Canis lupus familiaris: one gene and its partner. The protein of the gene in region 2 interacts with the protein of the main gene of each other region in a biochemical or structural test. Links are inferred from orthologs where the notes say so. Each region holds a gene or a part of one and is shown on either strand. Other genes may lie near its edges. The genes, in order: DEDD2 and CFLAR.

Region 1 (4,511 bases), on a different chromosome or scaffold from region 2:
CCATTAAAGGTACTTGACATAAAAAAAAAAAAAAAAAAGGTACTTGACATAAATAAATCTCAGAAACACGTCCAGCAAAGTCAGCCATATGAACACCCACCATGTGATGTCATTCAGATGCACCATAAAACCACAACAAACAATTCCATACGTTGCTTCTGGACACATGCTTTTGTAGAATAAACACCACGCAAAAAGCAATGTGGAGACGTAATGACCCCCTCGGGCCCCTTCCTTGATGGGTCGGGATGGAGCGGGTTCACCAGGATTCAGGAGGAAGAAAGGGACGCTGCCATCACACCCAGCTCTCAAGGCTCACCTGTCTCCCACTGACCCTGCTGAACCTCTGAGGTACCACTGGACTGGCGACGGCGACGACGGCTACCTTCAGTCCTTTTAGAAGAAGAGCCAGAGGAGGTGCCATAGTTGTAGCGTTCTGGAGACACTTCAGAGAGAGAAAAACGGAAAGAAATATTCACAGCCTCCAACCCCTCCCCGACCCAGGCTCCCATTCCCACCTGGAGATGGACTCCTGCCCCACTAGGTGCCTGAGTTCCCCAGAAGTCAGAGCCCAGACAGCCGCTCCCTCTCAAATGCTTCCTGCCCAGTGGTTGCTACATGCCTACAATGAGAGATGAGACCCGTGACCTTCTGGGGCTATCCAACCCATGTTTATAGCAGCTTCCAATTGTCAGGGCTGGATTCTGTAAGTCGAGTCATGGCCAGGATCCCTGCAATGTGGCCCCCCACCGCCAATTGCCCCCAATGCTCCCTGAAGCCCCAAGAAGTAAGCAGGCTCCCCAAATTCCCTCTTCCGTAGCCCGACCTCCGCATATATTTTTCTAAATGCACTGTTGGCTCTCCTCTAGTGATGCCCTTCTCCTGGTTATCCAGTTCCCGTGGACTTTCTATGGGCAGGGGAAGTTTGCAATCCCCCTCCGCAACTAGCCACTGCACCTGATAACCCAGCCAAGGGCTCAACAGTTCAGGGCCTCTGCACACACAGGACTTCTATCCCTTAAACCCTTGGGTTCCTCACCTTCTCAGAACTGCTCCTCCAGGAGTACTTCCCTCACAGGATTAAGAGCATCAACTCAGAGCCAAGCCAGCCAGGTTTAAATCCTGACTCCCACACTTTCTACCTGTGTCATCTTCAAGCCCCTGTATAAAGTGGTTTCTTACCTCCCCCTCTGCTCTTCGTTTGTCAGTCCCCTTTGCTCCTGCCACACTGGTCTCTGATGATACCAAACTCAGTACTGACTCAGGGCTTGAAAGCCTATCTTTCACTCTGCCTGGCATTTTCTCCTCTGAGATCTACGCACACCAGGAGTAGAGCCTCCATTCCATCACTTTCTCAGAAAGGTTTGGACTGGTTATCCAATCTGAGGGGAGCTCCCTTCACTAGAAGGCACTCTCTACTCTCTGCATTCCCATAACTCTACTTTAGTCTTTCCATAACCCTATCTAAAAATAAACCATCTGCCTTGATGGCTGCTTCCCTCCACTAACCATAAGCTTCATGGAATAAACACTTTGTCAGTCCCAACACCCTGTACCTCCTGTACTCAGCACATAGGATTCAGTTCTTACATGGGTACAAGCTGCTTAACTTCTCTTAACCCGGTTCTTTTCCCTGTAAGGTGGAGACACTAACAGGGCTCCCCACCCCCACAGGATTACTGGGAGGATATAAGGCGACAGTTCACATGAAGGGCTTACCGCTGTTCCCAGCATGAAACAAGCCCTCCATAAAGTGGCCACAAACGTCACAGATGTGACCAAATTCCACAAGCTCGTGTCTCCCAAAGCCATGTCTCCTCCCTGTCCTGTTCCTCATTGATACTCTCGACGAAGGGGAGGAGCGAGTGGGGAAGCAGGCTGATATGGTGCTGTCCCTATCAGGCCACCATGGAGGCCCAGCCAGGGCAAGGCCCCAGGCCTACCGGAAGTCTGTCGCCCTCCCATTCAACCATACCTGGCCGGCGCCTCTTGCGCGCCAGGTGCGGCAGCAGGTCGTGGCGCGCCAGGACGCGCAGGAGTTGCCCCAGCAGGCGAAGGTTGCTCTCGTCGCACTGTCCGCGGCGCTCCAGCTCCAGCAGCAGCTCCAGGCCGCTTCGGGCGCGGGCCAGACCGCCGGCCGCGCCGGGGGCCTCGTCGAGCAGGAAGGCCAGAAGCTCCAGCTCGCACTCGGTCAGCTGCCCGCCCACCACCTCGAACATACGGTGAAGCGACAGCATCCCGTAGTAGTCCAGGCATTCATCCTCCTCCCAGCTCGGGGCCGGGGTCAACCCGGACAGCGCCATATCAGGGGGAGGGTGGGTGGCACCAGGGCCTAGAACCCACACAGCGCGGAGGGGACAGTGGTCAGCGACGCGAGGACCCGGGCCCTACTCCCGCCAGCGCGTCTCCCCAGCCCCGTGCTGCCGGGCAGGGCCACCTTCGCACCCCAGCCTTCCCGGCCGTCCGCCTCCCCCCAGAAAAGAATGGTATCGCCCGAGGTCCCCTAGTAACAGGTCGAGACGCTAGACCCCGCTCGTCCTCCCACCAGTAGGGCCCGCCCGGCCCGCACACCCCTCCCCAGGTGGTATGTCCCGAACCAGCCTCCGGATCCGACCGAGTGATCCGGTCCGAACAAGTGTGGGGGCCCATCCCGGGGCACCCTGCCAACCGCCCTTTGACTCTGGGCAGCACTGTCCGGACGTGCCCCTTGGCTCCGTCCTGTGGTATTGTCCGATCAGCGCCGCGGCTCCACCCAAATGGTACCGTCCGAAAGTGACCCTCTGCCCCCCACAATGGAGCCGACCAAAGCAGCCCTTCACCCCACACAGGTGGTGCTGCCCGAACCCGACCCCCTCGCTCTGTTAGGGCGGTACCGCTCTCTCCCCAACACCCAGGTGGCTCCGTCTACCCGCCACCAGTCGCCCTCAGGCCTCTCTGGATCCTCACCAGATTCCGGCGTCTGACGACTCCTGGGCGACGGCCGCAGCCACTTGTTTTGGATCTTTCTGGCACCTTCTCTATTATTACGCCTGCGTCACCTCGCCCCTCCTCCTTCCCCCAACTCGCGCAGGTGCGACCGCCACGCCCCTTGGGCGCATGCGCAGAGTGAAGCTTCCAAGCCCCACCCCCTCCGGGCCCGCCCCCAACCGTAGCGTCGGGGCCCCGCCAGTGCTGCGCCTGCGCAAGACGAGAGCGATTCCGCGTCTTGAGTTGGAACTGGTACTTGGTTGCAGGGTTGCTTCTGTCCGCCGGTGACTTAAGGTTGGGTCCCTGTTGCCCCACGTCAAGCCCTGTTGGAACTACCCAACTCAGGGACTACAGCCCCATCCTAAGCACGACCTAGACGCCCACATAACCGCTCCTTCCAGCTGCCTGTATGCAAGGAACCCCAATCGCCACCTTCCGGGCTTCTCATAGCCCCCAGGCCCCTTATGATCCGGACTTGAATGCTCCTCCATCAGACTGGCCCTTACCCCTAATGGCAACCAGGAACCTACGTCACAGCTGTGCCCATCTCATGACCCCAACTGGAATCTCTCTTCGAAGCCCCCATCACTAAGTTCCTACACCTCCCCCCCCCCCCCCCATCGAGGCTAGGAAGCTTTCCCATCTCACGTTAGAGACCAATACCTCCTTCCTGATTGCAATAGGCCCCTCCATCCCGACTGCTCACTTCCTGATGGCATCCAACACGGTCCCTTACTACAGTCAGACACCCTTTCCCTGTCTCAAACGCCCCCTCAACGACTCTTTCCAATCTCTGCCCTCAAAGATCAAGGGGCCTCCCAATGCCCCCTCTCTAACCTGCACTCTGGCGAGGGTAGATCCCTATTAAGACAACTGGAGTCTAGGCTGCAAGTCTGAGCATCTCCCCTGAGGTGGGGCCTTAGGCGTGGTGGCCACGGCCCACCCCCCCACACACACTTAGGTGACTCAAGGTCGAGACTCGCACTGTGCCTTGAAACAAGTCCTCTCCTCTGAGTGGTTCCCACCCCTGAAATTATCTCCCTTTGGAAAGCAGGGGACTTGGGTCCTGCTTGGCACTGGCTCAGCACTGTCGGCTTGGGCTGCAGCAGGGCCCTCAGAAGAGTCCTTTTCTCTAATGGCAACTGTCACCTATTAAAACCTAGTCCTGGGCCGGACACACAGTAGGCGTCCGATAAGTGAATATCCTTAAGTCAACTGAAGAGGGGGTGGGAAAGGAAAGCAATTTTGCAAACTGGTAAGGACTATGTCCGTGTTAGATGGGCTCTAATGAGCATCTACGGTGTATCAGGCCCTGTGCTGAGCGCTTTTACGTGTTTGATTTCAATCAACAACCTTTAATTTAAGGTGGATGTGATTCAGGTCCGTTTTACGCAAATGTAGAAGTGAGGCCCTGAGAGAAGTACCCCAGGTGTGTCTGGCTCCAAAGCTATGCTCTCAGCATAGCATCTGCTCGGCCTCTTCCTCTATGAAATAACACTTCTGTCCAGGTCTCCCGCCACCCGATTCACTCCATAGGCCCTGGC
Region 2 (3,807 bases):
TTACCCACATATCTTGAAAATTACTTCTGGTAGTTTGGTTAGGAAAGTTTAGTAATGAAGACTACAGAGCTAAGCTAAGAGAGGCTTTTGGCCATTCATTTACAGGAGAGGATAAGTTTCTTTCTCAGAGTATGCTGCAGCCAGACGTAGTACCTCTCCTTAGCAGACACTCTGCTATTCCAATCATACACGCTGCTGTTGAGTTCAGTGTGGAGTTCCAAGAGTGGGCGTCTTCTGGAGGGAATGAGAAAAGCAAAAATTAATGCCATGCAGATATCAAAGAGGAGACAGATTGTCATTAGGGTGAAATGAGCCAACAGATGTGAAAGTGCTTTACAATTGTTTCTTTTTAAATTCTCTCTACAAGCTACTGAGTGAGTGATCCAAATCAGCTTGCCCAATGACCACAGTCCCTTCACCCAAGGGGCAACAGCATCTTATCCTGGGGACACTCCAGCCAGATGATAACTTACCTGGATCATAATGCAAATGTAGGATGGATGCCAAGAACACTGCTGGCCCATGGAAGGCTGAGTCATTTCTACTATAGCCCATTCCTTGCTGCTGAACCACTACTGAAGGGGTTGGGTGGTCATAGGTCATGAGACATATATCTGGGGTCCCCAGAACTACAACAGAATGCATTTCACACATGGCTCAGAAACATCATTCTAAACTGTAACGAGTGAACAACTGAAAAAAGGACTGCTAATCTTATGTGGAAATAATCTTAAATAAAAACCAGATAACCAAGCTTTCCCTTAGAAAAGTATTCTTGCCAATAAACATCAGAAATGTCTGTATAACACAGACTTGCAGATGTGGGGAGTCAGGTACCATTTTCCACCTATCAAACTGTCAAAACAGGGCAATAAAAGAGCGTGCAGTGTCGAGCAGAATTTGGGGACATGGGCACTCTCGTGCAAAGTGGGTGTAACTGTCCTAGAGGGCAATCTGATAAGACACATCCAAGCCTTTCCAAATGTATGCTGTTTGACACAGCACTTCTTCTGGGAATTTTGCTCAAGAAAACAGTACGGATGAGCACAAATACTGAGCTACAGAGATATTGAATGCTTTCCTTGTATGAAAGCAAAATGCCTTCCAAAGACTGAAAATTGGTCAAGTAAATTATGCCATAGCCATATTCTGGACTGCTCCACAGACATTAAGATGATGCTGTAGAAATGTGACTACTGACATGTAAAATATATGGGATATACTGTTACACCAACTAAAAGCAGGTTATAAAGTAATAGTGGATGATGATTCCATTTTGGTTTAAAAAACATTTAGATATGAGACGCCTGGGTGGCTCAGAGGTTGAGCGTCTGCCTTCAGCTGAGGGCGTGATCCCGGGATCCAGGATCAAGTCCTGCATCGGGCTCCCTGCGAGGATCCTGCTTCTCCCTCTGCCTGTGTCTCTGCCTATGTGTGTGTGTGTCTCTCATGAACAAACAAATAAATCTTTTAAAAAAAACATTTAGATATGATTGTGCAGGTATCCAAAAAAAGATCTGGAAGGCAAAACACCAAAAAAGATCTGGAAGGCTAACAGAGATTGGTTCTAATAACTAGGATTATAACTGTTTGTTATGTTCTGGGTTCAGCACGTATATTTCATAGGGTTTTTTCAATAAGGCATATGTACTGCTTTTGTCATTTAAAAAAAAAGGCAATTAAAAATTTCTTTATTTTGAAGACCAATATCCAAACTACAAGCTGACTAGCAAGTGACCTCCCGAAGCACAAAGCATTCCCAAAACATGTATCTCCTGTGGCAATCCCAACAGGGAATGAAAAATCCTTTTCTGCCTGAAGAGAAGAGCACCCCACGTGGTAATCACAGTGGTAAACTCCATCTTGGTAGCAAGAGAATTGATGAGTGGTCCAAGGATGGGCCACCACCGAGGCGGCTCACCTGTCTTGCCCCAGTTTCTGGGAAAGGCATTTCAGGTACAATGATGGAGAACCAGAGGACTGTTCCAGAAGGGACACGTCTGCCTTGCACAGGCTCCAGAGGAAGTCAGCTTCCCGGTGAATGGTGCAGGGCCCGGGCTGCTTGGCTTTGGATTCCACATTGTTTACCTCTGGTCCATCCACCTCCAGGAAGCTGCTGCTGTCCATCTGGCCTTCTGACACCACATAGTTCTGAATAAAGAAGAGCTTTGGCTTCCCTAAGAGAAAAGGGCATGCGTCTCCCATGAACATCCTCCTGACCTGATCCAAAGGGAACCCTGAGTTTGTATGATCCACACCAAACACACTCTGGGAGCCACCTCGGCTCACCAGGACACACACAAAGCTGTCGTAGTCTTGGTGTTGGGGCATGCGGGCAACTTGGCGAAGAATCTGGATTATACTGTCCACGTTCAGATATAAGAAATACTGGACTTCGTAGCCCAGGGAGGTGAAGGTGTCCCGAAGAAAATCTGGATAAAATAAACAAACACACAGGGAAAACAACACTAGGATGAGAAACACTTAAGAGGCAGTGGATAGCAATCCTAAGCACGGGCTGATCTCTGCTCCTTATCCGTTTCTGCTTTTGTGCCATATTTTGAGGTTTCAAAGAACCGGAGCAGGGGGCAGGAAGGAATCAACCTGAAACACATTTATGTCCCAGGATCTCAGTTACCATCCGCCCCATTATACCACCTTCCCTGCCCAAGGCCACCAGCACACGTGGCCACAGGCATGGATGGAGCCTACTTCTAGGCCAATGCAACCAACAGGGGAACAAAACTTTTTCTCTTCAACCAAAACAAAGCTGGGGACTTTCCAAAAGGCTCTTTCTTAAACTCACACACAAGTAAGGAGGAATGGATGCATTTGCAAAGTGCAGACCCGCACCTAGATCCAAATGGCTGCAGGAAGGGTGGCCCAGGTCACGAGTCCCCTCATCCCCACAGCTGTGGGCTGCTACAGCTGCGGGCACCTCCATCCAAGGCGTGACTATTTCCAGACTCCCCAGTTGCTCTCATGACCCACTTCCCAGTGTAACCTCTGACCAAGATTCCCTGTAATGCCCCCAAGAATTCTTCTCTTAGTTTCCAGAAATTCTGGATTGGCTTTGCCTGGAAAAGCAGTGTTAGGGCGTGGAAAAGGCAGACTTTAGGGTGCACAAGCCTGCCTTCTAACACTGACCTTAAACATACCTGTGGCTGCATGACCTCAAAGAAGTAGGGCTCCCTAGCTTTTTTTTTTTTTAAGAATTTATTTATTTATTTATTCATTCATTCATAAGAGACACACAGAGAGAGAAGCAGAGAGATAGAGGGAAAAGTAGGCTCCTTGCAGGGAGCCTGATGCAGGACTCGATCCCTGTACCAAGATCACACTCTGAGCCAAAGGTAGATGCTCAACTGCTGAGCCACCGAGGCGTGATGGTGGAAGTGATAGAGGTGATGATACTCAGCCTATGAGCATGCTGTGAGGATTAAGTGAGATAATACACATAAAGCTCCTGGGACTCTATTCCTTTTTTAAAGAAAATCTTGTATCCATCTCTTAGAAGTTTCTAGAGCCTTGGAACCATAGAAATCCTACCCAGTCCATTTCTTGCCCATCTGCTCAGTTTGCCTTCATCAGAGAAATAGTTTTCTGCTTTGTCACATCTTTCTAATAGCAGAGGCAGACATCTTTCTCTTCCTCCTTAAAAATTCCACATCCCTTTGAGCCACCCTTTAAGTTTCTGTTCCTTGTCTGAGGGATGCCTCCACTTCTTAATTCATTTGTGGAACAAAAAAAAACTGTTCTGCCCTAAGCTAGACAGGCATCTCCGAATTCAGATTATTACTCGAACTC

The links.
Region 1: the proteins of CFLAR (region 2) and DEDD2 form a complex in vitro, tested with the Homo sapiens proteins (2 studies listed by BioGRID). The link is inferred for Canis lupus familiaris from reciprocal best matches to the Homo sapiens genes CFLAR and DEDD2.

Annotation. Positions count from the first base shown.
Region 1 is NC_049222.1:112,875,658-112,880,168, reverse strand, and holds the start of DEDD2 (DNA-binding death effector domain-containing protein 2), read right to left. Parts: upstream 3,105-4,511; 5' UTR 2,947-3,104; exon of another isoform or gene 2,853-2,946; intron 2,829-2,852; exon of another isoform or gene 2,623-2,828; intron 2,333-2,622; 5' UTR 2,304-2,332; coding exon 1,976-2,303; intron 446-1,975; coding exon 320-445; intron 1-319. UniProt on the Homo sapiens protein: May play a critical role in death receptor-induced apoptosis and may target CASP8 and CASP10 to the nucleus. May regulate degradation of intermediate filaments during apoptosis.
Region 2 is NC_049258.1:10,161,220-10,165,026, reverse strand, and holds part of CFLAR (CASP8 and FADD-like apoptosis regulator), read right to left. Parts: intron 2,433-3,807; coding exon 1,922-2,432; intron 235-1,921; coding exon 96-234; 3' UTR 1-95. UniProt on the Homo sapiens protein: Apoptosis regulator protein which may function as a crucial link between cell survival and cell death pathways in mammalian cells. Acts as an inhibitor of TNFRSF6 mediated apoptosis.